Linked DNA regions of Cricetulus griseus. The protein of the gene in region 2 interacts with the protein of the main gene of each other region in a biochemical or structural test. Links are inferred from orthologs where the notes say so. Each region holds a gene or a part of one and is shown on either strand. Other genes may lie near its edges.

The links.
Region 1: of the proteins of Amfr (region 2) and Herpud1, one has a biochemical effect on the other in vitro, tested with the Homo sapiens proteins (6 studies listed by BioGRID and IntAct, with this or other methods). The link is inferred for Cricetulus griseus from reciprocal best matches to the Homo sapiens genes AMFR and HERPUD1.
Region 3: the proteins of Amfr (region 2) and Ube2g1 form a complex in vitro, tested with the Homo sapiens proteins (7 studies listed by BioGRID, with this or other methods). The link is inferred for Cricetulus griseus from reciprocal best matches to the Homo sapiens genes AMFR and UBE2G1.
Region 4: the proteins of Amfr (region 2) and Bag6 form a complex in vitro, tested with the Homo sapiens proteins (2 studies listed by BioGRID, with this or other methods). The link is inferred for Cricetulus griseus from reciprocal best matches to the Homo sapiens genes AMFR and BAG6.
Region 5: the proteins of Amfr (region 2) and Ube2d1 form a complex in vitro, tested with the Homo sapiens proteins (2 studies listed by BioGRID). The link is inferred for Cricetulus griseus from reciprocal best matches to the Homo sapiens genes AMFR and UBE2D1.

Annotation. Positions count from the first base shown.
Region 1 is NC_048596.1:170,618,191-170,622,122, reverse strand, and holds the start of Herpud1 (homocysteine-responsive endoplasmic reticulum-resident ubiquitin-like domain member 1 protein), read right to left. Parts: upstream 2,801-3,932; 5' UTR 2,688-2,800; coding exon 2,541-2,687; intron 1-2,540. UniProt on the Homo sapiens protein: Component of the endoplasmic reticulum quality control (ERQC) system also called ER-associated degradation (ERAD) involved in ubiquitin-dependent degradation of misfolded endoplasmic reticulum proteins.
Region 2 is NC_048596.1:170,161,503-170,167,000, forward strand, and holds the end of Amfr (E3 ubiquitin-protein ligase AMFR), read right to left. Parts: intron 4,094-5,498; coding exon 3,909-4,093; intron 3,133-3,908; coding exon 2,985-3,132; 3' UTR 1,597-2,984; downstream 1-1,596. UniProt on the Homo sapiens protein: E3 ubiquitin-protein ligase that mediates the polyubiquitination of lysine and cysteine residues on target proteins, such as CD3D, CYP3A4, CFTR, INSIG1, SOAT2/ACAT2 and APOB for proteasomal degradation.
Region 3 is NC_048600.1:86,469,333-86,475,131, reverse strand, and holds part of Ube2g1 (ubiquitin-conjugating enzyme E2 G1), read right to left. Parts: intron 1,836-5,799; coding exon 1,733-1,835; intron 1-1,732. UniProt on the Homo sapiens protein: Accepts ubiquitin from the E1 complex and catalyzes its covalent attachment to other proteins. In vitro catalyzes 'Lys-48'-, as well as 'Lys-63'-linked polyubiquitination. May be involved in degradation of muscle-specific proteins.
Region 4 is NW_023276806.1:231,656,083-231,662,566, reverse strand, and holds the start of Bag6 (large proline-rich protein BAG6), read right to left. Parts: upstream 3,878-6,484; 5' UTR 3,854-3,877; intron 3,650-3,853; exon of another isoform or gene 3,391-3,649; intron 3,360-3,390; exon of another isoform or gene 3,169-3,359; intron 2,858-3,168; exon of another isoform or gene 2,716-2,857; intron 2,615-2,715; 5' UTR 2,602-2,614; coding exon 2,494-2,601; intron 1-2,493. UniProt on the Homo sapiens protein: ATP-independent molecular chaperone preventing the aggregation of misfolded and hydrophobic patches-containing proteins.
Region 5 is NW_023276806.1:266,584,022-266,589,820, reverse strand, and holds the end of Ube2d1 (ubiquitin-conjugating enzyme E2 D1), read right to left. Parts: intron 5,031-5,799; coding exon 4,925-5,030; intron 2,976-4,924; coding exon 2,882-2,975; intron 2,240-2,881; coding exon 2,194-2,239; 3' UTR 1,350-2,193; downstream 1-1,349.

The DNA.
Region 1 (3,932 bases), about 460 kb from region 2:
TAACCTTAAATATATATGCAAATAAATTTGGGAGGCCAAGATCCCCTATTCCATTAAGAGTGGCCGCACAACCTTACTTCTTACTCAGAGGGAAACTGCTTCCTGCTACTAAAAAAAAACAATTGTATTTAGGGCCTCAGGGGCAATGAACTTTAAAACCTACTTGGGCCCAGAGAACACTCAGTGTACTTTTTGGTCAGTCTTCCCCCCCCCATAGCACCTGAGGTCACCTGCTGATAGAATCAAGATTCCAACCCATGTTCTCCTCCATACCAGTGGCTTTAAAGACACCAAGAGTCCACACACTTTTATATAATTCTCACTTCTAAAATCTATTTTAAAAATTCTCTTAAGACCATACTCTTAAAAGTATATACTTAAAAGCAATGGACTCCAGGGTACCACCCTGCTGCACCCAAATAACCCATAAGCAAAACTTGGCACAAAGCTGTTCCTCCCAAACAACCCAGCCTAGAAGAAACCAAACTTAGCTCACATCTAGAGGCTTAGCATGAAGGTAGCTCAGGCAGAAGTTCCAGGCTAGACTGGGATATGAATGAGCTGTAGACAAGCCTCTGCTAGAGAGATCCTATCTCAAAATACTACCACCCAAAAGACCAGGAAAACTGCACCCACATGGTGGCACATGCCTATAAGCTCAGTACTTGGAAGGTAGAGGCTGAAAGGTCGAGATTAAGGCCAGCCTCAGATGTATAACAAGCTCAAACTAGCCTGTGTTGAGCCTTGCCTCAAAACCAAAACAATGACAACAAAACCTGTATCTGCTTATCAACATTCATAAGGGCTTTTGACACTATACCTAAAGAAAAGAAGTATACTGATGCTGTGTTTGCTGTTGTTCTGTCTGGCTTTGCTGGTAAATGCTATACAAATCAATTTGCAAACTACTGTTCTAAATGTGAAGCCAACCACCAGCAAATGCTGAAAAAAAGCACAGTTGCCTGTGGATTTGAACTGTTTTCCTCTCTGTCCTCAAGGCCAATTTGAGAATTATAAAAGCAGGTTCTCACCAATGGCGGGTACTACTACAGAAAAATATAAGGATGTTTTCTGCCTTCATTTCTGAGAGAGGCTCTCACTACATACAACCCAGGAGGATATGACCCTCCTGCGTGGGCCTCTCCAGTACTGGATTACAGAAGTGCACCACTACACCCATTCCCCGTGATTTTTAAGACACAGATGTGTACACCCAGGAGACCTATATTTACCATTTTAGGTCTTCAAATCCAAGAGGCCCAATGTTCCTTGCCTGAGGAAAACAAGCCTCAAAACATAGCCTTCTCCAAATGATGCAACCAGAGATCACAGGAGCATCACTTGTGTGCCTAACTGCCATCTCGCAACAAGGACACCTGGTTTCATGGAAACGGCCAAGGAGATATTACAGACAGCCCAGATGAATTCCATTGGCACTGGATTGGAAGCTTACTCCCAAAGTAAGTAAGTTCCTAACAACTCATAGGGAAAAGTCTGGCCTACATTACCGACAATGCGGAACTAAAACAAACTGAAACCCAGGCACCACTGCTGGTTGGAGCTCGAAGGCAATTGCTCGGAAGTCCCCATCTGTAGCCACCAGATTGCCCTCTCCTGTTTGATCCAGAACTGCACTCGTGGACACTTACATAACATCAGAGTACAAAGTAAATACAGGAAGGTCCAGCACAGCCTCCATCACGTGGCAGGGACTGGAGGGGTGGGCGGGGCTAAGGGGAGCTGTTGACAGATGTGTCAACTAAAAAACACTCCTAACTGACCCACGGAAATCGTCAAACCAGACTTAGGGCGACTCCAGCTGTGGCTTCCTTTCTCAGTCTTTGCTAGAAAGTTAAGGGGGCTCCTCCCTGGACTAAGCAATGCCTCTGGAGCGCTGAGCGACAGGGAGGGGCAGCCAACGGAAGGTGGCAGGAAAAGAGCCACGTCTAGCTTCTGGGCGTAGGACCTTCAGAAGTTGGTGACTGGGAACGAAACACCCCCCTCCCCGTCCTCCAGCCACTGGCCCATGCTGGCACATGCACTCTTCTGTCCCCGCTGCACCCAGAAGTCTCGTTTGGCAACATTCACATTTCTTATTTCTACCTACTGGATGCAAGCCGAATTGGAAACACCTAGTCACCTAGTTTTGTTTTGTTTTTTGTTTTTGTTTTGTTTTTGTTTTTTTTGGGGGGGGGTCACTAAGGCTTAGATGGGAAATGACTCATCCAAGGTCAAATTACTGTTTCCCTGGCTTGGCGAAGGCTGTAATGCCACCTGGGAGGACAAAGAGGGGGTATAGGGACGTGGGGCTGACGTGTGACAGCTTTGGAAGTAAAGGGATACAGGGAGGCAGGCGAAGTGACAAGGAGCTAGCAGGGCGCTGGCACGGAGGGGTGGAGGCCCACAAGAGATGACAAACGCCGGGGCAAGCAGAGGGGCACGGGGGACGGTCGGGCCGGAAGGGGACCGGCGCCCTGCGATGCGTGACAGGTGAGTTCAGGCAGTTCTGCCGGGCGTGGCACCCCGGGGTCCCCACTCACCGGGCGCTCGGGGTAGACTCGGCTCAAGTGGGCCTTAAGGCGGCTCACACTCCAACTGCGGTCGCCACTTAGCTCCAAGTCGCGGTGACGCTGGTTGGGACTCTTCACCAGCAGCGTGACCTGCTCGGGCTGCGGCTCGGGCTCCATGTCTGCGGCGTCGGCGGCTCGGCAGCGTTCAAGGATGCCGAGCTGGCGGCGACGCAGCCGTCGTCGGAGACTCCACAACGACACTTGGCGTCTTTGGGACGCGCGCCCCCGTCTCGAGTACCTTTTATGGGCGCCCCGCGCCTGGGCTTCACAGTCGGCGCTCTCTGTGGCTGCCACCCATTGGCTGAGACAGAGGTCAGTGTCTAACGTGGCCCAATCAGCGCCCGGGGCAGGGCGGCGATGAGGCGGGCTGAGCGCGAGGGTGCGGGCTGATGCAACCCGCCGCGGTTGCGTCATCCTGAGTCCCGGCTGCGGCGCCGGAGCCGGGCTTCGGCGGCCATGTCGGGGAGCGCTCCCGGGCGCTGGTCCTGTTCTGGGGCCCTAGCGCGGGATGCGTGCGGTGCCTGAGCCCGGGCGGCCCGCCTGACTCCCACCTTAGCGGGCTCTGCAAATTGTTCCCTCACAAAGCGGCCCTCCTCCCTTTCTGACCCCAGGCGCCGAGCACACGTCCTCTTGCATTTCCCCGGGGGCTCTGCAGCCTGGCATCCAGGGATGCTTTTCCTCCCGGACTTTAACTCTGCACCAGGTGTGGGACTTGCCCCTTACTATGAATGGCACCAAGTGTGGGGCTTCTGCCTAATGTTTGTATCATAGACATCTGCTGCTTTTAAATTGGGGTTGAGACAAGGACATCAGTGGAGTCGTGAAACTTGTCCAGAAGCCTCTAGTGTTGTCAGCGCTCCACTGTTCCCTCTAAACTTGAAAAACAAAATTAGCATTCACCTGACCTCATCCTTATCCCAATCCTGTTGGGACACCTGGGTTTTCAGCCATGCCAGGAAATCAGAGGAGTAACAGGAGGGGCCTGTTAGGGATGGTGATGTAAGTTTGCCACACAACCAGAAGGAAGTGCCATAACCTGGGAGCTGAAGCAACCTGAATTTATTTCGCAGCTGTAGAGGCTGGAAGTCTGAGACCAGGGTGTAGAGTAGTATTGCTTCCTTTGGGGAGAGAATCTGTTTGTGCCACTCATAACTTCTGCAGGATTGCCAGCTGTCCTTGGCACTTCTTAGCTTCCGGGTGTATTGTTCCAGTTTCGACCTTTCTGTTCACATGGCATGCATGCACATACACGTGCGTGAATGTATCTGTATCATCGTGCACATCTCTGTCCAATTTCCCTCTTTTTATAAGGATATTGGTCATATTGTGCTAATGACCTCATCTTAACAATTATCTTCCTAC
Region 2 (5,498 bases):
TCTGAGCTCTTCAGCTGTTGCTCTCACTACACCCTCTAATTACTGTGGCCTTGCAAAGAACTAGCCAATGGATTAAGACTGGGCCTACCAAAGTGCCTCATATGGCAGGCCAGTCCTTAGGCCAGCAGTAAACAGCAGGTTCAGTGTCTGTAATGGAGGGATCCTTACAGAGGTCTGCTTAGTCCCATCTCCTAACAGCACCCCACATGGACATTCTCAGCTCAGGAAGGCCTCTCCCTGACACACAGCACATGCCGTTGGTTGTTTGGATCCAGCATGGTGTGTGTGTGAAGGGGGGCACGACACTGTTTCAGACCAAGGCTAACAGTCCTGTCACCTGCCATTATGCTGAATACCTAGTAAATGCAGGCACCCTCTGAAACCTCTTCTGCCAAACCACACCTCTTTTCCAGTGCTTTCCCTACCAATTGTCTTCACCCCAGGTTGCTGTCTACAGAGGGACCCAAACAACCTACACCCAATCTACACCTTAACTGTTATATCAGAGGACAAACCAAGATTCCGATGGAAGCTTAAAGAAAAATACACCTGTTCCTGACAGGTCTCAATTTCTCTCCAAATGTGTTTCATTCCACCAAGTTCTCTCCCAACCTGTGAATGGATTTTGCAGATTTAAAAAAACAAAAACACACAAACTCCATTGTACAGCCAGGGCCAGAATCACTTCAAACCCAATGGAAAGCAGAGGTGGGAGACTGACCTTCAGGTTGGACAGGGAGCCTTCCAGGGCAGAGACACAGCTCCTTAACGAGCCTCCCATTTGTGTGTGCCCAGCTCCCAAAGAGCTCACAGATCAGTTTCCTAAAATCTCAACACAGGATCGAGCCTGCTGACTGCAAACTGAAGAGCACTCTCTACACTGCTCTAGGGAAGGTCAGGTTCAGGTTACCTGAGCACTCAAGAGTCACCAGTACAACAAATTTGCACAATCATTCTCTCTGCTACATAAAAGCCTCAAATTTTTAAAGGAAAAAAATTAAGGACCCAAGAAGATAAAAATCAAATATGACCAATGAGGAAAACAGAGAATTACAGAATAGTTCCAAAATTTCCCAGTTCCTTGGAGGTTTGCTGAAAACCAGAAATTTTCTATTAACACACAGAATCCTTGACTATCCAGATAATTCTCTACCAACTTCACTTTGATCCAAGCTATCTCCAGGGGGGTGGGGGTGGGGGATGACAAATCAAGCATGTACTTGGGACTTCTCTCCCTGGAACATCTTAAGGTATGTGAAAGCACTTCTGCTTACATCACTACTGTTCTACGATATTCAAGACCCTCTGAAACTGACTGCAAGCAGTTTCCACCTTCACATGTCTGAAATGTAATATGTGGGATCTGCTTCACCTTTATTTTCATGTGCAGCATGGAAAGATAGCATGAAAGCAGACAGAGAAACTCAAGTGTTGCCTTCTCCAAATAAAACACTAGGAGAAACAGCACCCTCCCACACACACAAGTTCAAAAAGGATTGTAACACCCAAACCCAAAGAGCAGACACAAAAGCAGAATGGGATTCGAGTGGCCCCTTGGAAGAGTGCTACCTCAGCTTCCAACCATATACAACACACTACAAGAGGTTGCTTTTTATTATTGTTGCTTTACAATAAAAACAAATCACTATGCTCTCAGCAAAACAGATTAAAAAAAAAAAAACTCACAGGAATTGAACTAACAGCAGTTCAAGGTAAGGCTTTTGGAAGATTTATTGAAATAAATTACTCTGCCTATTCATCTATTGCCCTTTCTTCAATTACTTGTCAACATTCTAAAAACTTCCAGGTATGTAAAATACATTTAACTTTGCCAATAATTTTAGATAATACTGGATTCTTCCCAAAAGGACTACCATAAAACTATGTTTTCAAACATTTAAAAAAATCCAATGGGACATAAAACTATGTAACCTATGATTGCGTTGTTTCAAATCCTTAAATACGTGGAGAATTTGAGAAAATCCAGGACCAAGTCTGCTTGAGGCATGTGGATTATTCAACATCTTCCCTTTCTGTTTAATGAGACCCACAGGAACAAAAGCAGGGAAATGAAGGGCTCTGGGGGAGAAAGATACATAAGGTATTACACTTCAGCAATGTCCCCTAAAACATCCCTGCCTTGCAGGCCCATACCTATCCAAGGATCAAACCCATATATGTTTAGCATAGCCTAACAGGGTTGACCAAGGAATCAAAACCATAACCAAAGCTTGCTGCTCACCCCTTCCCATGCCTAGAGTAAGCAGGGAGTAGGAAGAAAAAGGAGGGGCAAGCTTATGTGATGCAGGAGCACCAGAGTGAACGGAAGTAAAGCCAGCTGTGGATCGGGGCTCAGGTCGGTCCTGAATATTAAGGGCAGAAAAGGGTCTCCTCCTTCTGCAGCCCTGAGCTTTCCCTTTCTGCTCCAGGTACCAAATTAGTTCTTTATACATGATGCCCTGCTGGTCTAGAAGTCCAGGAGCCTGTGGTACTGACCTCTGGAACACTGTGGATGCTTCTTCCCTTAGCACAGCATTTGACAACAGGATAGCTTGTCAAGATGTAGAGTCAGACTCCTGCTGTGCACCTCCTGGCTGCTGTGATGCACCCTCCCCAGGACCCACGCTTCCTTTAGACACTTAACATCTGCCATGGCTTATACCAAAGCAGAAATTGAAACTACCTGCTGCAGGCAGGTGAGTGCCCAAGTGCCTACTTCCTTTTGCTTGTCCCCACTCCCAAGAAGTCCAGTCAACACCAGAAGAGGTCATGCCTAGAGTTCAAATGTGCAGTATTTCTAAGGGGAAGAGAAATGCCACATAGAAAGTATTACAAGGATTAAAGTTGTCGGCTGTCCACACACTATTAAGACCACATGCTTTATGCAGCAGCAATGCAGTCGCGGGTCTCCACACAGCAGGCAAAACCGGGACAGGCCTCTTCCGGTAGGTAGGGCTGGACAGGAGGCTGAGGATGAGGAAGCACTAGGTCGTCTGCTGCCTCTGAAGTCTCCGCTCAGCAGCAGCTGCCAGCATCCTCCGGCGCAGGGTAACAGGGTCAGAGGACGTGCCTTCAGAGGGGAGGAGTCTCTCTGAGGCCATGTCATCTTCAGAACTTTTGTTCAAGAACCGCCTATAAGAAATGAAAAAGCCACAAGAGAAAGATAACAAATGGGAAGATCTGCAGAACACTTGTTTTCAGTTTCCCATCTCCACAGGCACCTTCACAAAGTTGTCACTCAAGATGAAAACACCCTTGCCTATGGGCTGAGGGCAGGGCATCTCAGTAGGAGGCATTTGCTCAGTATGTGTGAGGCCTTGGGCTCAACCCAAAGGTGTAAAAGGAGAGGAATAAAGAGAAAGAAGGGTCAAGATGGATGAACAGGGTAGAGGCAGGGAAGGGAGAAAACAGCAGACTCTTCAATGGATGAGGCTAATTCCCAGGGAAAGGACTATCAAATAACAGTTCATCTCTCTCTCCTCTGCCTAGTCCCTTCCCACAAAGCATGGAGTTTTAGAGCGACAGATTTGTGCAAGGCATAAAACTCACTTGAATGAATAATGCTGGCCCTGTCCACAAGAACTGAACTAAGATTCTACTGACCCAAAGGAACACTGTGCCCCAGCTGCCACCAACTGTGGGGGAACTCAAGGAACAACACAGGTGCTTTGTTCTCAATGCAGGCCCAAGGCAGGGCAGTCAAGGTCCTACAGGCAGACTCCAGGTGCTGGCAGGATTACCACCCTGGGTATCTGTTTCTTATCTGTATGTCTGTCACATGGATTAACAGTGCCCCTTCTCGGAACCAGAGAGAAGGTAATTCATGTACAGGACTGAGAAAATTGGCACCAAGCTGCCATCTTCCCCATAATTTATGTATGCTGACTAGGACTGGAGAATCAACTCACTTCCGAGCTTGCTGCAGGAGGTCATCCTTGCGCTGGACTAACATGCGCTGTCTCTCATCAGCAGACTTGGAGAAGCGGCTCCCCCGGGCCTCAAAGTCTTCCACCTCACTGGGCTCCACTTCTACCTCACTGAAGTCCAAGGTCTCTTCTAGGCGAGGACTGAGGTCCAGTGGTACACGCTCCGTCTGGACAGAGAGGGAGCTGTTAGCACAGACCTTTCCTTCCCAGGCAGCTTTCCTCCTTGCCAGGGCATTTTTGACAGGCCTCTGCTGGATCACTGGGGCCTTCTGCTAGACAGGAATCCAAAGCAAGAAACTTGGGCTCTGGGGAGGGATGCCAGCTGTCATGGCTCACATGAGGACTCATAGTAGTGGAGTAAGCAAATAGCTGCCTTTATGAGAAACACAATCCGCACTTTCAACCTGCACTCTTGGAACAGACCACGATAAACCACTAGTCAGTACTCCAAAAATTTCCTTTTCAATTCTGCCAACTGCTTAAGAATTTTAAAAAGTCTTTTTTGTTGTTGTTTTTGTTTTGTTTTGCTTTTTCACAACAGAGTTTTTGTGTGTCGTTCTGTTTGTCCTGGAACTCCCTTTGTACACCAGGCTGGCCTTGAAAGCACTGAGATCTGCCTGCCTCTGCCTCCTGAGTGCTGGATGAAAGGCATGCGCCACCACCGCCCAAATAATTTAAACAAGTCTTATCTGTTGTATGAAATTTGTGTCCTCAACTTGAAAATAGTCATATGAGATCTTTTGTGGAAACAGATATAGCAGATTGTGGGTTTAAAGGGTAACAAAGGACTTTCCTGGTTTGGGCTGAAGCTCCAAAAGCCAAGACACTGCCCAGATATCCAAACATCCTTAAGCAGGTACAATCCACCTACACTGCCCCTGCTCCCAGACTTAAAGACTTATATGGCCAGAGCCTGCCCACCTCCCACTTCTAGGCTGCAACAGAGCTGAAAGTGTTTCCACTGTGAGTACTTATTTGTCTCTGACCCTTATGCTTCTCTCTGCCTTCAGCCAAGAGTGGATCTGAAGACAGCCATATGGAACTTAAACCACATGGTAAGTCTGAGTCTCTGTCTCCATATAGGGAAAAAAACAGCTGGGTGCAGCTGGAAGTCAGAAGAGGGCTTAGGTAGCATGTGGGAGGCCTTGGGTTTCAAAACCAAGAAAAGAGGGGGGGAAGGGGGAAGGCAAGGGAGGGAGGGAAAAGAGAGAGAGCCTAGATACCCATTAGCAGATAAAGGAATAAACAAAGGGTATTACTCAACTGTAAGAAGAAATAAAAATTGAAAGATGAAAGTACTATGAGGACAGCCTCAACATACACACTGGAAGTTGAGCGCTACAAAGTCTAAAAGGTATTCGCTGGAGCAAACCAAAAAAACAGATGGGGCTTGTCATGGGAGCGAGTGTGATGCCTGATGACAGTAGGCAACACACATATCAGAGCTCAGGTGACAGCTCTCCAGAAGGGAACCAGCTGAACACAACAAACCTTGCCCAAAAGGATCTCTGGAGGTGTGAGCTGCTCACAGCAGAGGCAGAAGTGTTCATAATGGGCTAACACAAATGCAAA
Region 3 (5,799 bases), on a different chromosome or scaffold from region 2:
TTCCATGCTATCTTCTGGCCTCCCAAGGTACTAGGCACACACAAGGAACACAGACATACATTCATGCAAAAACACTACACATATATAACACAATTGATTGATTGGTTTAATTAAATTAAAAAATAACTGTTAAAAAAAAAAAAAAAACTTCCAGAAATCTGAAGTCTTTTTCTTTAATAATATGATAAGCCATTAAAAACAGTAAAACAAGCCAGGTAGTAGTAATATGTGCTTTTAATCCCAGCACTCAGGAGGCAAAGGCAAACAGATCTCTGTAAGTTCAAAGCCAGCCTGGTCTACAAAGCAAGTTCCACAACAGCCACAACCGTTACACAGAGAAACCACGACTCAAAAAAGACCAAAAGAAAAAAGGTTTTTAACAAAAAAATTAATTTCAGCAGCAAGAGTACCTAAATTCTGAAACTGTATGTTTAAGACCTGGTTTTAGACAGAGTTTCAAGCACAACAAAGGCTCAAAACATGATCAAATTAAAGACAAATAAATGGTTACACAATGGAGTACTACTCAGCTGGGGGGAGGGGGGGACAATGTAATCTTGAAATTCCCAGGCAAATGGGTGTAACTACAAGAAACCATCCTGAGTTAGGTAATGCAGTCGCAAAAAGACAAAAATGGTATGTACTCACTCGTATATGGATTTTAGATCTAGAGCAAAGAAGTAGCAGCCTACAATCCACATCACCAGAGAAGCTAGGAAACAAGGAGGACCCTAAGAAAAATATACATGGTCCCCCAGGGAAGGGGAAAGGGATAAGATTTCCTAAGCTAATGGGGAGCATGGGGGAGGGGAGAGGGAGTTAGAAGAAAGAGAAGGAGAAGAAGAGGGGAGAGGAGGACATGAGGGAGCAGGAAGATTGAGTCGGGGGAAGAATAAAGGAGAGCAAGAAAAGAGATACCATCATAAAGGGAGCCATTATAGATTTAAAGAGAAATCTGGCACTAGGGAAATGTCCAGAGATCTACAGGGTGACCCCCAACTAACAACCTAAGCAATAGTCGAGAGGCTACCTTAAATGCCCTTCTCCAACAATGAGATTGATGACTACCTTATATGTCACCCTAGTGCCTTCATCCAGTAGCTGATGGAAGCAGACGCAGACACCCACAGCTAAAACTGAGCTGAACTCTGGAATACAGTTGCAAAGAGGGAGGAGTGATGAGCAAAGGGGGTCAAGACCAGGCTGGAGAAACCCACAGAAACAGCTGACCTGAGCAAGTCACGGACCCCAGACTGATAGCTGGGAAACCAGCATAGGACTGTTCCAGACCCCCTGAAGGAGGAAGTCAGTTTGGAGGTCTGGACAATCTATGGGGCCACTGGTAGTGGATCAGTATTTACCCCTACTATACTAATGAACTTTGGGAGCCCTCTCCACATAGAGGGATACTCTCTCAGCCTAGACACAGTAGGGAGGGTCTAGGCCCTGCTCCAAATGATGCAACAGACTTCGTAGATCCCCCAAGGAAGGCTTCAACCTCCCTGGGGAGCAGAAAGGGGTTGGGATAGAGGGGTCAGTACCGGACAGGAGAAGAGGGGAGGGAGAGGGAACTGAGATTGACAGGTAAAAGAAGCTTGTTTCTAAATTAAATTAAAAAAAAAAAAAAAGACAAATGGTATTAGAAACAATTTTTGCTTGCTCCTTTAAAAAATTCAATTTTCAAAATTAGGAGTAACTATTTGAAGTAGTCAGTTCCAGTCAGTATACTTACTAAAGTGTATCTGGAGGACCAATAATAAGGACTTCCCATCGATAGAGATCATTGTCGTCTATTAAACCTGCTGAAAAGCCTTCCACTGGATTTTTGTTGAGTTCTGCAGAAAAAGAAAATTTCAATTAAAACTTTAAAATGTTTTTTCCCCCAATAGGTAAATTACAGAACTTGAGCATACATAAGCCATCAACTATAAAAACTATAAAAATGCTGCCTCATGACCACAACATTTCCATACTACAAGCCACAGGTACAGCAAACTATCCAGATGGAATTGTACTGTCTTCCAACCAAGGTCTTAGCAGTCTAGGTAGGTTTCCACAGAGCCTGTGAAGATGGAAATAAATAAAGCCAATTCTCCATTGAAATTTCAGTTCAAAGAAAACCAAAAATCAAATCAAATCAAGTATATCAAGTTTTTGCCGGGCGTTGGTGGCACGCACTCGGATCTCTTGTGAGTTTAAGGCCAGCCTAGTCTCCAGAGCAAGTGCCAGGACAGGCTCTCCAAAGCTACACAGAGAAACCCTGTCTCAAAAAATCAAAAAAGAAGTTGGGAAACAAATGAAGGATCATCAAAGAGCAGATAAGGAAGAGTAAAAAAAAAGCCTTAAGAGTTCAGATAGACAGAGCTTACTAAAATAATGATTTATTGGTAATAGGCATATCACGTGAGTTTTTAAGATAGTTTTAAGAAAGTATAACTGGCAGCTGGAAAGATGGCTCAGCAGTTAAAGTGCACACTGCACGCTCTTCCAGAGGTCCTGAGTTCAATTTCCAGCAACCACATGGCGGCTCACAACCATCAGTAATGAGATCTGGTGCCCTCTTCTGGCCTGCAGGCAGACATGCAGACAGAATACAGTATACATAATAAACAAAATCTTAAAAAAATAAAATAAAATAAAAAGAAAGTAAAACTGACCAGGTCGTAGTGGTGAATGCCTAAATCCCAGCATTCAGAAGGCAAAGGCAGGTGATCTTTGTGAGTTCAAGCCTGGTCTACAGACCAAGTTCAAGGACAGCCAAAGCTACACAGAGAAACCATCTCTCACCCGCCCCCAAAAGAGCTTAACTGACATAAGATAAACTGTATCTATGTAAACTATATAATTTGATGAAGTTTAATATACTATACCTGTAAAGCCACCATCACAATCATGACTGTATATACAAAACCAGAAAAACTATCAATTATTTTATCTGTCAAGAGAGCCAAGGGCTGAGTGGTTCAAATTAGGCAATGAGGACAAAACATGTGAAAGAGCAGTTCAGAAAGCACTTGCCAGAAATCTGAGCAGGTAAGTACATGATTCTCATACAGCACATGCTATCTAATAATGGAAGTAGAATACATCACTACTATAAAATGCTAAACAAAGTATGCTAGTAACCGAGGAAGCATTAACTTTTTAAACAGTCAAAAGTGGTGGTGTTAGTTCAACGACTATAGCTTCATACATTGATATCAGGTCCATCTTCACTTGTCAACCTCTACTTCAACTTGGAATCACTTAGGAGACACACCTCTGGTACATGTCTGAGTGTAGTATGTGTCTTTTATTCAATGTTGTTATTGCTGGTTGTAGGTTTTAATTTGTGTATGTTTACCTTTTCTTTTCCTGGAATATACTTGACATTGTATACAGTTTTTGCATCAGGCTTAAAACCTTCTTTACACTAAAAGGGGGAATTACAGCAGCATCTTCCTCGCCAGTGTATTTGTATTAGTGGTGACACCCCTATGGGCATGGCTTCAAGTGTGGACAGAACCAGAAAGAGGGAAGCTCTCTCTCTCTCTCTCTCTCTCTCTCTCTCTCTCTCTCTCTCTCTCTCTCTCTCTCTCTCTCTCTCCCTCTCTCTCTCTCTCTCATGCACAGGCACAGGCACAGGCACAGGCAAACCTCCAACAGGGTTTCACTGTGTAACAATCCCTGGCTGTCCTAGAACTCACTCTGTAGACCAGGTTGGCCTTGAGCTCTCAGAGATCTGCCTGCCTCTGGCTGCAGCAGTTATTGTTCTGTGTAAGTTGTTCCCCAATAAAATACCCATTTATCAGTTATCTTGGGTCTAGTGAACTAACTCATTCACTCACGCCTTCATCTGAGGGTGTTTCCAAAACAGTTTAACATAGAATGTGGTTGAGATCATTCTATCAGTTAGTGTTCCACGGCTGCATAAAAAATGAAAAAAGGAGACAGCAAGCACAGTACTAGAATTCATACTCCCTCCCATCACCGTACCACTGACCCACTCCAGTTATTACACTTTCCCAGGCATGATGAACTACACAATGAACACCCTTGAACCATAAACTGAAATATTTAAGTTTTTTTTATCAATTATTTTGTCACAGCAACAAGAAAATAATTAATGTACACTCCAACATGTCAACAAAAAAACAGTTGAATTTCCACTTCAGTAATTATTTCTGCTGCTGCAGTTTTGGTTTCTGGCTCTACAGCAAGTACAGTATTTTCAATATTGTTATGTTGTAACGTAACTTCAGTGTCTGGAGAAGATGGCTATATGTCTAGACACATGGTTGACGGTCCTGTGTCTCTGACACTGCTGTCCAGTGTCCCGATCAACCCATTCTACACATCCCCTGAAAATGACTGCCATGACACCGACTCAACGATTGGCTTGGTGGCTTCCCTCATATGGGAAAATAACCTCCTGTTACTCCTTTTTGCTTCCTTCTACCCATTCCTACTACTTCCCCCCATAGTTAACCACCTTCCTCCCTTCCCTCCTTGGACCCCTGATAGGGCTCCTCTAGCTAATCTCCTTTGGCCCTTGAGCCTTTAATCGACTTGTGGCCTTTGTCAAGCAACAAATGGACTCTGCCACTAAGCCTGTCCTGGTCCAATACTAACCACTTCCCCACGGCCAGCTTCAGAGGTGCAGACCTGGATGGTACTGCAAGGAGACCTCGTCTTCTGAGGAATATGCAATGGGGTCAATGTCCTAACGCTTTCCCACCCCCACAAAAGGCATCCAGACAGTCCTGCCTTTCAGATGGCTCCGAGAAGTCATCCCCTTCTTATAAATGAGAAAATTGTCATTTATAAAATCTACATAGATTCTCCAATTGGGGGCCAGGCCTCTATCCCCCCACTGCTGAAAAATTTGGCTGCTTCTTTTTATACATGGAAGGGGGAATATGTTGGGAGCCAAATCTCAGGGCTGGGCATGAGATCCTAGGCCATTCTTGGCCGGCCACATAGTTGTATATTAACCTTTACATAGGAGCTCCTTAGAACCTCAGCTCAAGAAAAAGACCCAGTCCTCCACCCACAGGCTCAGTCACATAGGCAACCCTTCCTGGACCTCTTACTCACTAACTCTTTACCCTGCCAAACATCCTCTTTGTGGCTTCCTAATATCCTGCCTACACTAACACCTGGCTCACAAACAACCCATTCTACCCCTCCCCATATCCTACTCTGCCGACTATATAAGCTAGCCTGAGAAAAAAAAATAGTTTGCCACTTGATCAGAATCCTGTCTTGTGGTCGTTCTTTCTGCATCTCTTGCCCCATTCCCTATCCCTGACTCTCTTGCCCCAAGTTGATGTCCTGGAGGTGGGGACACTTTATAATCTCAAGAACAAGCCTATAGCTCCCCACCTCTATGAGAAAAATACTAACCAGCTCCAAACATCAACCAAACTATTTCTTTTTTTTTAATTCATTTTTTTTAAAAAAATAAAAAGCATACATGGGTGTTTTGCCTGTGTGAGGGTGTTGGATCCACTGGAACTGGAGTTACAGACAATTGTGAGCCATCATGTGGGTGCTGGGAACTGAACCCAGGTCATCTGGAAGAGAAGCCAACTCTTAAAATGCTGAGCCATCTCTCCAGCCCCAAAACTATTGTTTCTCATGAGAATTTCTACAAGCCTCCTCCTCCCCCCACTCCCTGAGTCACAGCCCATGAGGGAAATGTTCCATTAAAGCCTAGTTGCCAAAAATCACAGCTGGAAGCTCTAGGGTAAAGTTCACATAAGAAAGTGAAGCCCCTGCCAGGCAATAGTTATCCAGTATCTTCTAGATAATAGTTAC
Region 4 (6,484 bases), on a different chromosome or scaffold from region 2:
AGTGTCTCTGGCTTCTATGAACACTGGTGCCCACAGGTACTCACAAACCCCTGCCTCCACACAAACCAATACAAAATTAAAAATAAAAATAATCAGCAATTGGGAGGAAGAGGCAGTGAATCTCTTGTGAGTTGGAGGTCAGCATGGTCTACAGAGTGAGTTCTAGGACAGCCAGAACTATGTAGAGACTGTCCCCAAAATAAATAAATAAATAATCCAAAGAATAACCACCACAACAACAACAATAAATAATAAATGTTACAAGAAAAAAGCCTAACAGCTCTCCCTTTCTCTTTCTTGGCTTAGTATCTACAGATTCTGGTGATCCTTTTCTAAATATAAAACCATGCCAGGAGCTCATGGCTGTAATCGCAAACCTATAAACAGGTGGACACTGGCACAACCCTTTACTCCCATTGAGACAGAGGCAGGTGGATCTCTGTGGCTACCAAGCCAGCAAGACTACAAAGAGAGACCCTGACTTAAAATACAAAACAAGGGTCTAGAGAGATGTCTCAGAGGTTAAGAACACTTGTTGCTCTTGCATAGGATCAGCGTTTAATTCCTAGCACATGGTGGTTTACAAGCATCCATACATAACAGAGTAGGTGTTACGATTTCCTGACTTCCACAGGTTATAGGACCTAATATCCTCTTCTGACCTTCTCGGGCACCAACTGCACATACAGCACACATATGAACCTACAGACAAGACACTCACATACAAAATAAAATAAAAGCCAGGCTTGGGGGCTGGAGAGATGGCTCAAAGGTTAAGAGCACCGACTGTTCTTCCAGATGTCCTGAGTTCAATTCCCAGCAACCACATGGTGGCTCACAACCATCTGTAATAAGATCTGGTGCCCTCTTCTGGTGTGCAGATATACACGGAAGCAGAATGTTGTATACATAATAAATAAAATCTTAAATTAAAAAAAAAAAAAAAAAAGCCAGTCTTGGGCCGGGCGGTGGTACACGCCTTTAATCCCAGCACTTGGGAGGCAGAGGCAGGCAAATGGAGACCAGCCTGGTCTATAAGTGCTAGTTGCAGGACAGTCTCCAAAGCCACACAGCTACCCTGTCTCGAAAAACAAAACAAAACAAAACAAAAACAAAAACAAAAATGAATAAAGTCTTAAAAACATTTTTTTTGAAGCCAGGTGGTGGTGAACATCTTTAATCTTAGCAGACTCTGTGAATTCTAGGCCAGACTGCTATACAGATTGAGTTCCAGGATAGCAAGAGGTACACAGAGAAACCTGGGGGGATGACACACCTGATACACCCTCAAACAACCATTTCCACCAATGGCAAGTAATACTGGGTTGGGATCCAGGGTCTGGGAAGATAACTAATGAAGAAGTAAGAAGGGAGCCCAGGAGGTTTCCTAGAGTTCAGGGGTAGGTACTTTGTGCTAGGTCCAGGGTTCAACACCAGTAGGAACATCCCCCCCCCAATAAGGGGAGGAGGGAAAATGAAGAACCCAAACAAACCAACGTGGTAGCACACACCTGAGACCCCCAAATTTGGGAAGCAGAGACAGGAGGATGACGAATCCAAAAGACAATCAGTTCTAAGACACTTAAAACCCTACCTCAGCCAGGCAATGGTGGAGCACGCCTTTAACCCCAGCACTCGGGAGGCAGAGGCAGGCGGATCTCTGAATTTGAAGTCAGCCTGGTCTACAGATAAAGCTCCAGGACAGAGAGGGCTACACAGAGAAACCCTATTGGGGAAAAACTAAACAAAACAACCTAAAACAAGTCAGGTATGCTACACCTAAAATCCTAGCACAGAGGATGGAAGTCAGAAGGTCAAAGCCAGCCTGAGCTCTATGAGGTATTGCTGTCCCTACCACCCCCAAAAAGAATCTTCCAAATTAGACAGTAACTCTTGGTAAGGGCCATCAGACACCTACTCACGAAAGTGTACCCGGTGTTCCCAATGTTTTATAAAACCACGAAAGTGACCCGTTCATGATTTGTTCCCGAAAAGATTTATGCAGTAAAGACAAAGATAACTGTGCCCACACTGCACCCTGTAAGCTCGGGAGGTTCAAACCACCCCTCAAGATATTGGCAATCCTCCTGAACAGAGCACAAAAGCAGGCTCCCGGGATCTATAAATACAGTGTTAAGGCCGAGAACAAGTTGTTCAAAGACAGAGCAAACACAGCACACTTGTCTGAGGCCCCGGTGCTGCTTCCGGTCCCCCAGGCCGGAATCATCCGTGTCCCTGTGGGCAGAGGTCCGCCCAGGCCAGGTACAGATTCCTCCGCGGCATTTCCCTCTCCACCGAGCTCCACCGAGGTGAAGGCGGGCGGAACAAAACCTGCCTCACTCAACGGTAACCACACCTCCTCACTCAACAGGAACATCAGAGGTTCTACCGAGGGAGGGACAAAGGAGTCGGTGACAAGACAAGCAGGCTCGCCCCTCGGAAGGCACACGAGCGAAGCGGGCACACACACCGCCGCCTCTCCCCCCGCCTCACCTGGGCCCCCACAATGAACGTCCGAGTCTGAGAGTCCAGGGTCTTCACCAGGACCTCCAGGCTGTCGGGCTCCTCCATAGCGGTCCTGGCACTATCGCTCGGCTCCATGGCCGACAGCTCTCTACGGAGAGACGAGGGAGGGAGGGGGTGGTTCGCCGCCGCCCGCTCGCTCGCCCGCTCGCCCGTCAGTCCGTCCGCCCGCCCGCCCCGCCTTCTACACACCCGGAAGAGCGTCCGGGCCCGGCCTCCGCCCCGATCCCTCTCAAAGTTTCTCATACACAAACACATCCACTCGTCCTCGCCCTCATCGCCCCCTCCTCGGCCCCGAGGCCCGGGAGGAGAAACACAAAGGGCAGGAGGGGGACGGCACCGGGAGGCGAAGGGCGAGCGGTGGGAGGGGCTCCACGGTGCCAATCACGGTCGGGAGAGCCAGTTGGGCTACGAGCCGGGCAAGCAAGCACGAGACCGACCGGACACCAGTTGTCATCACCGGTCGCGACCCAGCAAGCGCCCGAGAGAGCGGGAGAGCCGAGGACAACGCGAGGGGGGGGCGGGGGGAGGGTCGGGTCGCGCCGCGCCGCGCCGCGCTCGGCGGACAAAGTGGCTCCGCGCACGCGCGCCACGGCGATCGAACCCGCCTCAAGCACCACAGGCGCCGGGGACGCGGACACTCACGGGAGCCCGACCGGCTCGCTGGCCGCCCGTCCTTCCGCCTCCGCCTCCGCCGGCGTTGCAGCAGCAGCGCGCGCGGCCCGACACGCGGCCCCTCACATACAGACACACGGACACACAGACACACGCACACACACGCACGCACGCACGCACGCACACACACACACGGCGAGGCGCGGCGCAGCGCCCCGCGGCTCCGCCCCCCCCGCCGGCTCCCCGCCGTACCGTCACTTCCGGCCTCCCCCAAGCGGGCACCACAGGCCACTTCCGTTTCCCCGATCGTATTTGGGGCTCTCGAGGCGGTACTTCCGGCTCCCCCAGGCTCCCCCCAATCTGCTTCTGCGGGGCACGACGAGGAAGTCCGCAGCCCCAGACAGTGAGTTCCCAGGGGCCGAGACGGGCCGGGGCCGGCCTAGATGGGAGGGAGCCGACCACCCCGAGGAGCCGCCGCCGCCGCCGCCGCCGTCGCCCGGGGGACCGCACTGCGCCTGCGTGAGCCGCGCGGCGCGTGCGCACACCGCAGCCCCGCCCCCCGCCCCGCCCCGCCCCGCCTCGCCTCGGGCTGCGTGCGTTTCTCCGCCGCCCCCCGCCCCCACCCCCACGGCGCGCGCCCCGCAAGCGCCGCACGGCCGAGGTGGCCGCCGTAACGCCTGAAGGAAACCCTCGCTGAGCGGGATGCCGCCCCTACCCGGAGAGACGCTGTGGACGCCCGTGGGGGACTCGTGGGGCTGTTGCACGCCGTGCGCCTGCGTCCGCGTTGGGCGGGCAGAGGAAACGCACGGGCACAGCCCTAGCCACCTAAGCCCCGGCAGGGCCTCTGGTCCTCCCGCACTGCCTGCGCTCCCGGAAGCCGCTCCCCCCCGCCCCCCGCCGCCCGACGGTTGGACGTTCCGTGGGCCGTGTGCGCTCGCACCCGAGCCGGACCGGGCGGCTGCGCGCCTCGCAGACTGTGGCGTGTGCTGAGGGTCGTTGGTTGGTCGAGGGCGCCCGAGGGAGCGCCATGGTTCAAGACCACCGAGCGTTTCGCCGCTGGTGGAAGCGGGGCCGGCGCGCGCCTGTGACCCCGGCCCCCGGAGGCCGGCCTGGGCTACGCCGGGAAGCGCTAGCGCTCTGGAAAAGACAAGACCAAGCAAACCCCCAGCGCGCGTGCCCGGGCCACAGGGTTAAAGGGCGAGAGAAGGGGTTGGGGGTTCCCCGCTCATCCCCGCCGGCAGTGAGCACTGTTTAGTGAGCAGTGGTTGCTTTGTCCCAGCCTGAATGCTGAGGCTTTCACCGTGTTCCCCTGAAGTGCCTGGAACTCCTCACGCCCCACAGCCCCACAGCTCCACGCCACTGCCCGGGGCTGGCATTAAAGTCGCCCTGTGGCACCCGGCCAGACGTCATTTATTTATTTTTCTGAAACGCGGTTCTCACTATGTAGATCTGGCTGTCCCGGAACTCAGGGATCCACCCACCTCTGTCCTAAAAACATTTTTTTGGAGGGGGAAGGGGGGGCGGCGGGCTATGTGCCTTGCATCTACCACAGCAGCCTAAGTGTGGAGAAACATACCGGAGTCCCCTTCCCACTGTGGGGACCTGGGGATCAAAGCCAGGTCCTCAGGCTTGGCTTGGTATCAAGCACCCTAAACCCACCTTTTAGTGTGTCCTCATAAAATTGGAAGGGCTGGAGTGGGAGGGCACTTGCCCGGCAAGCCCAAGGCCTTGGGTTTGATCCCTTGCTCCCACACACAAGCCTGAGCATCACTCCAATAGAACGGTCATGCCTATCACCGCCCACGTTTTTGTGATTGCTTTGTAGCAAGATAGTAAGTACCAAGGGTGGCCTGAATGGCAGTCGGACTCTGGCCAGCGTGAGTGTGTCCAGCATGGATCTGGCGATCCTTACCCTTCTCTTACTCCCTCTCCCCTGCTCAAAACTGTTAGGTTACATTCCTGAAGATAGTCACCATTGTAGGGATATATTTGTGACTTATTAAAGCTTGCCTGAGGATTCAGGAAGCAAACCCTTTTTGGCCACTACCTCTCCCTGAGGCTGACTACCAAGATCAGCTATCAAAGTATTGAAGTCCAGCAACCGAAAGCCCCCTTTGGCTCACCTAATTAACATGCCCAACTAAGATTAAACTCATGATCCTAACATCCCCTTTATATCTTTATAGACTGCCATTTTCCTATGTACCATGTCTGTCATCTCCCTTATAGCCAGGGGCAGTCCTTTGTCCCACACTGGGACAAATACCCTGCCCCTTCTCCCTCTTCCTCTGTCTCCTCTCTCTCTCTCTCTCTCTCTCTCTCTCTCTCTATATATATATATATATATATATATATAGCTTTCTGAATCCTCAGGCAAGCTTTAATAAGTCACATATATATAAAATATGAATGATCTGTGTCTCTCCATATATATGTGTGTGTGTTTGTGCTGTCCTGGCACTCATTCTGTAGGCCAAGCTGGCCTCGAACTCACAGAGCTCGGCCTGCCTCTGCCTCCAGAGCTCTGGGATTAAAGGCCAGAGCCTCCACCGCCAAGGCCTGCACCATTGTTCCTCTAAATAAATCACAACCTCCAGCAGGTCTCACTTCTCTGGAGACTTGTGTTTAAAAGAAAAGCTGGAGTCACTTCTGTGTCTATTTATCACGGGCCTTAAGGCAGAGAGACGGGCATTTAGGAAGAGGATGGTATTTATGTACCTAAGTCCCACCTCTCATTGCATTGACAGCTCCACACACTAAGACAATCCAGTGACTGTCTCTTGACATTGTGTTTAAATCTTGACAACATAGCAATCCATTTAAAAACTATCACCAGCAATTGTAGTGGGTACCTTGCAGTTACTAATGACAGTGGGTATTTACTTCTGACTTGGTGTGTACATGATCTCATTTAACTGTGAGACTAACAAATAAAAAGAGCAATCAAGAGTGACAGAGAGAGAAAGAGAGATTAAGACAATTGTCCCAGGAGATTGCCGGTGTGTGGATCATTGATATTACTGAGCATGCCTGGTATGCTTGAAGCTCTAGGTTTGATCCCCAGCATCAGGAGGAAAAAGAAAACCGTCCCTAGCCCAGCAGTGATGGTACACATCTTTAGTCCCAGTATTCGGGAGGCAGAGGCAGACAGATCTCCGTGAGTCCAGCCTGGACTACACAGTAAGTTCCAGGACAGCCAGAGCTACATAGTGAGACCCTGTCTTGAAAAAAAAAGAAAAGGAAAAAAAAAAAAAAGGAAAGAGGAACCCACCATGCCCCAGTGACTGGCTGGCGCCTGTTCTAACACTTATCAGCTTGTCTTGCAATGATTTGTTTGTAAAGCTGT
Region 5 (5,799 bases), on a different chromosome or scaffold from region 2:
CTTTTTGAGATACGGTCTCTCACACTATAGCCCTGGTTGGCCTAGAATTTTCTAGGTAGACCAGTTGGCATCTCACTCACAGAGATCCTCCTGTCTCTGCCTCCTGAATGCTGAGATTAAAGGTATGTACCACCATAGTCAACACAAATGATTTTTTAAAGTGATACTTTAAGATAGTCATGAAACAAAATCTCTTACTTTCACAATACACTATATATTATCTAAATATGAGAGCACCCAACCTCAGGAGACATGTAGCTCACATAGAATGGATAGTAACATGGGTTTTGTTCATGAGATGGCTACTTCAAGACATTATTATCTCTATTTCTCAAAGCTGGTATTTTCTTATACATCCATTTCACAATTCACTTAATTATTTTACAATCATTCATAAATATATATTTCCTAAGAGGCTAGCCTGTGCTCCAGTAATAACAAATCATGATAAAATATAATCAATGGAGTTAAATCTTTTACTACCAAGTAGTCCCATCAGATCATTTACTACCACTGTTAACGATGACACTCTCAAGTGTGATGTGCCTATGAACCATCAATGAGATAGGTGTTCAAGCTCAAACATTAGAACTTTGTTTTCTTTAAAAATCTAGAAAGATAACTTGCTTACTTAAATTGATTTTTAGCTGACAATTTATAAAAACAGAAGTACCTTTTTTTTAAATTGCTGATAACATACAGTAAAGACAGATGCTTTTCAAATTGTGATGGCATTAAAATTCTATTTTAGAGATTCTAGACTTTTAAAACATTGAGTGATGTCATGGCAGTGATACCGAGAGTCATTCCCGAGAGTCAATTCCTCCTAGTTATCAAGATTATCCCCCTAGTTATCTTTAGGGCAGGGAATACAAACCCATACTCCTTTTTGGACTTGTATAAGTAATCCATCTTGGATGTGGATAAACCCCAACTTCTAAATTCTCAACTACAAAAAGGGACCACAGCATACTACCTCACAGGAGACAACCTGATAAAGAGGTACTAGCCTACTGCAATAATGTTTATATGCAATTAGTGGCTATTAGAAATGCCAAGATAGGAGGTGGCATGGGCAGGGGTTAAAGGTGCTTGCTACCGAGACCAAAGTGACCTGGAGTTGGATTTCAAGGAACCACATGATGAAGAGACTCCTACAAGTTGTCCTCTGATCTTCACATGCACCGAGGAACACACCCCCAAATTAAAAAAAAAAAAAGTGACAACAAATTTCTTTTAAATGCAAAAAAAAAAATTAGATCACATTTTCCACATTGGAAATAGTCATCATGCAAAATTATAGAGTTTTGATCAAGCAGTTTTGGGGTTTGCATTAAGTAATCAAGACAAATAGTAGAAAAAGCATTTTATTTATATGGAAAAAGCTACAGTCAGATCTGTAAAAGGTGTCAATATAATATTGCCTATACAGAAAAAAAAATTCAAATGTGAAGAGCAACAACAGAAAAAGTGACACACCTTCCTACTTAGCAGTGCAATTAATTCACATTGCAATAAAGTTAAGTCAAGTACAATAAAACCGAAACAAGTGTTTCTCCATTCTAGTCAATATACTGAGAAATACAGTGTGAAGATCAGTTCTGGTTTAAGAAATATGCATTCAACCCACAGAATATCCTAAGACAAGGGGACAGGGGGCACAGTTAATTCATCATCAGCTGTTGGGGTTTCAATACTGTTCACAGGAAAAAGAAGTCATGAGTTGACATAGAATATATTTAGTCTATACAGTAAAAAAATACAAATTATAAAGTGAGCTAACAAAGAATGAAATCTGAATTCAGATTTATAAAAGTGACGACATCTTGGACAACACGTACAGTGTTTCTCATGTAAAAACATCTCCTTTCAGCAAGCAAAAAAAAAAAAAAAATCATCTGGTTGCTTCTCAGTCATGTTGAAGATCTCGCTTTGAAGATGCAGGTGTCCAAGTGTCTCAAAAACCAAAATAAATGTCCTCCTCAAGGAGCATAGAATGCTAAATGCTCTCCGAATAGTTTCAAGGGTAGCTTTGGAGGTTTGTTCTGTCTTGCTTCAGAAACACATTTAAAATGAGTAAAAACCAAAGGGTTCGTGGAACAGAGGAGACAGCAAATGGCACTCAACTTACTGCTAATGTTGAAAAAGACAGGTTTTACAGTACTCTGGCAGAAGTGGAAGTGGTTTAAAACATTACATTGCATATTTCTGAGTCCATTCTCTTGCGTGCCTGTTGTATCTGTAGGCATATAAAAAGAGAGAGAGAGAGTAAAAGCACACACGTTTAGCCGGAGGAAGCCACACTCTGTTCAGAATTGGGTCTTCTACCTCCTCTCGCTGACCACCAGACCTTCCCCTGTCACTGGGCTGAGGTAACACAAAAGCATGCCAACATAAAAGCAAAAACAAACAACTTTTAAATTACTAGATTCCTCAAAAAACAAAACAAAACAACAACAACAAAAAAAACGAGACAAAAAACCAACTTCAAATAGAAATCTCTAGAAGTCAAGCCTGAGGTAGGCTTAGGCACCAGGAAGGTGAACTGGCTAGAGAAGTTCAGTGTGTGTGGGCAGAGAAATAACTTTTCTTTCTAGGAGACGATGGGGAAACAATGCCCAGTGCCGCCCAGTGATGAAAGCCTTCCATGATGAATTTACTAGCTAGAAACGATGAGGGCACAGCACAGACAGAGGACATGATCTACTAGACAGTGACCCAGAAAGAGGTTTCTTTTTTTTGTTTCTGAGACAGTTAAAAAACAAACAAAAAACCAAAAACCACAACTTACACAGAATTAATTGTACTTCACATATAGTACACAGGCAGCAAACCATATTGAAACGCACACAACAGGAAGTGTACAGCGGGACACACTTACTTTTCTTTGTCTGATTTATAGATCTGTGCAATATCTGGTACTAAAGGATCGTCTGGGTTAGGATCACAGAGCAGCGAGCATATGGACAACAACACTAGGTTGGAGGAAAAAACAACAACATTCCATTGAGTGATGCCATTGCTGCTTTATAAACTTACCCACCTGAAAACAACTGCCCTGAACACAAAGGAAATGAAAGAGGAGAGGAACACTCAGAGGTAAGAGCACAACTCAGTGGCAGGTGGCTTCCAAGCATACCTGGGACCCCAGCAAAACAAAAAACAAAACACCCAGCGCTGTAAAAATATAAAAGTCACGTTTTATATTAACTTCAGTTGGGGGGTAAATATGATTATTTCCTAAAGTAATGAAACTATTATGTTTGACATTTTTAATTCTAAGTAATCTACGTTTACTTAAAACAATGTGTGTCATCCAAAGTAGCTGCTGGCAATCTTTCAAATCAAGAACTCGTGTGTGTGTGTGTGTGTGTGTGTGTGTGTGTGTGTGTGTGTGTGTGTGTGTGTGTGTGTCCCCATCCATCCATGAAATATAAGATCTTTTTCCAACAAATCTTCCATTCCTTTCACCTCATATTTAATTATATTCACTTACAAACAACCTGAATACCCATCTCTGTTTAACTTGTGTATTTTAAAAGATACATAGAAACTGTAAGGTATCTGTTGCTACATCATGCCAAAACTACTAATGCAAATAGCTACACTTAAACTATGCCAGGAGGCCAGCCTGGTCTACAGATCGAGTTCCAGGACAGCTAGGGCTGTTAAACAGAGAAGAAACTCTGTCTTGGGGGGCGGGGCTGGGGGAGGGGCTACACAATAAAGAGAAGCACATCCTAGTAGGCCCAGCACTAGAGAGGCTAAGCAGGACAAGCTGCTAACTGGACACTAGTCTGGACTACATAGTGAGACTTGTCCTAAAAACAAAACCAAACCCCACCTGCTTCACATGTGTGCGGTCCATCCAAGGAACCCCACAGAAGCATCTCCCAAGCCCCACCCACCCTCCTCTGCTATGATCTTTCTAGTCTACAGGTAAACTTAGAGCAAAGTAGACTTTCAAATGACAGGGAGACGGGGCAATGAGAATGAAGGGAAAACCATGTTTCTTTTCCTCATCCTACCCCATGAGACTCAGGCCTTCTATAGGAAATCAACAGGACAAGGTTATCTCTTCCTTTGTATATCCCCTTGTACATCCAGACTAAACTCACAGCAAAGGTCAATCGAGGCCTTTAAACACAGAAAAACGAAAAGTGTACCAATAGGTGTGTGAGGTCTGAGCTATCTCCTGACATGGACAAGAGTGAAGTTCCCCAACTATCTCCCCAGTCCGGCTGCCAGGAACCATCTGCCCCCATTTCACTATCACAAATGGCCCATGAAGAGGAGGAAGGGGATAGAGGTGTCCACCCCAGGGCTCGGTATGCACCAGGTGCCCAGCGGCCGAGTTTGGTAATTCTGTCACGATCCTGGAATGTGATGAGACCGGAGCAGTTTATGCTCCTAGGCTAGCAATACGAATTATTTTTTAGTCAAAAGCCACAGCACCACTGATAGTCATTGAGTACGTGGCAGCCAGCCATTTCTTTAAGTGAGAAGGACTTAGCAGCTTGTGGCAAATGAGAGCCATTTTGGGACACCATTCCAAGAAGAACTATAGTAATCTGAATAATTATAGACAGAATCTTTCCTTTATTCACTTTATGGTAAATTCACTGCTGAAAAAAAATTTTTTTTTTTTATTTCTGAGTCAGAGTTTCTCTGTGTAATAGTTCTGGATGTCCTTGAACTCCCTTTTTGTTTAGATTTGGCCATTCACTCATTTCTCCCAATCCCAGAGTTTACTAAAAGCCAGAATGACCGAAGAGTTACTAGAGAAAACAAAACAAAAATAGTAAGCACTGAGGGTTGAGGCATCTGTTTTGTTTGTCTGGACTTCGGTTTTTGTTTAAACTCTGGTCCCTAGACATTGTACAGTCCTCTCCATGCCTATTTTAAATCTGATAAATGAAATTACCTTTCGATACAGTCAAAGCTGGTGACCACTGGGACCGCAGGATGTCAAGACAAATACTTCCATTACTGTTTATATTTGGGTGGTAGATTTTTGTCGTGAAAGCAATCTACACATAAAACAGAACAACAACAACAAAAAGGTTGATCGTCACAAGCGATGAACAAGCAGAACCAATCCACTCAAGGGAGAAATGTGCTCAACTTTACACAGCTTTGGAACAGAAACATCTACATGCAGGTCCGCTATTGGGAATTTGAAGGAGACTCAGTTTAACCTCCTTTTCTCCTCCAGGTGCTGGGACGTATCTTGGGTGTAATGAGGATGTCTGCAATCACTGGGGTGACTGGCACTTGGACCAGCTGCTCTGGCTTTCATTACACCTCCAAATACTCTTCTTAACCAGCCTGTGAGTAACACCCAGCAGGCCACCTGGATCTATAAACAGGTCACCGAGTCCGTCAGAGCAGAAGTGAGATGATCACCCGTCCTGTAAAACCCACTGAGCATCTGAATTCCGACAAGAGTCACTGTTGTGTGATGTCATCCATAGGATTTTAAACTCAGTGTTTTAAAAATGCTACAATTATTTCCATAGCAGCAAATATATGTTTGTTTTCCCTCCTTCACACCCCCCCCCCATCACTTGTTTCTTCTTTGGCCTTTAAACCTTGGAGAATGTCTTTTCATTCCCTGCTGCCATTCAGTGTGCTTCATTTGTGGTTCCCATCATGCAGGGACGTAGTGGATGGTCAATGTATGTTCACTGAACACTTCAAGAGAGAAAACAGGGTCCTCTTTGGAAGGATAACACTGTGGACAGGAAAGTCTGTCCACAGACTATAGATTCTCAGACTATAAAAACATTCCAGACTACA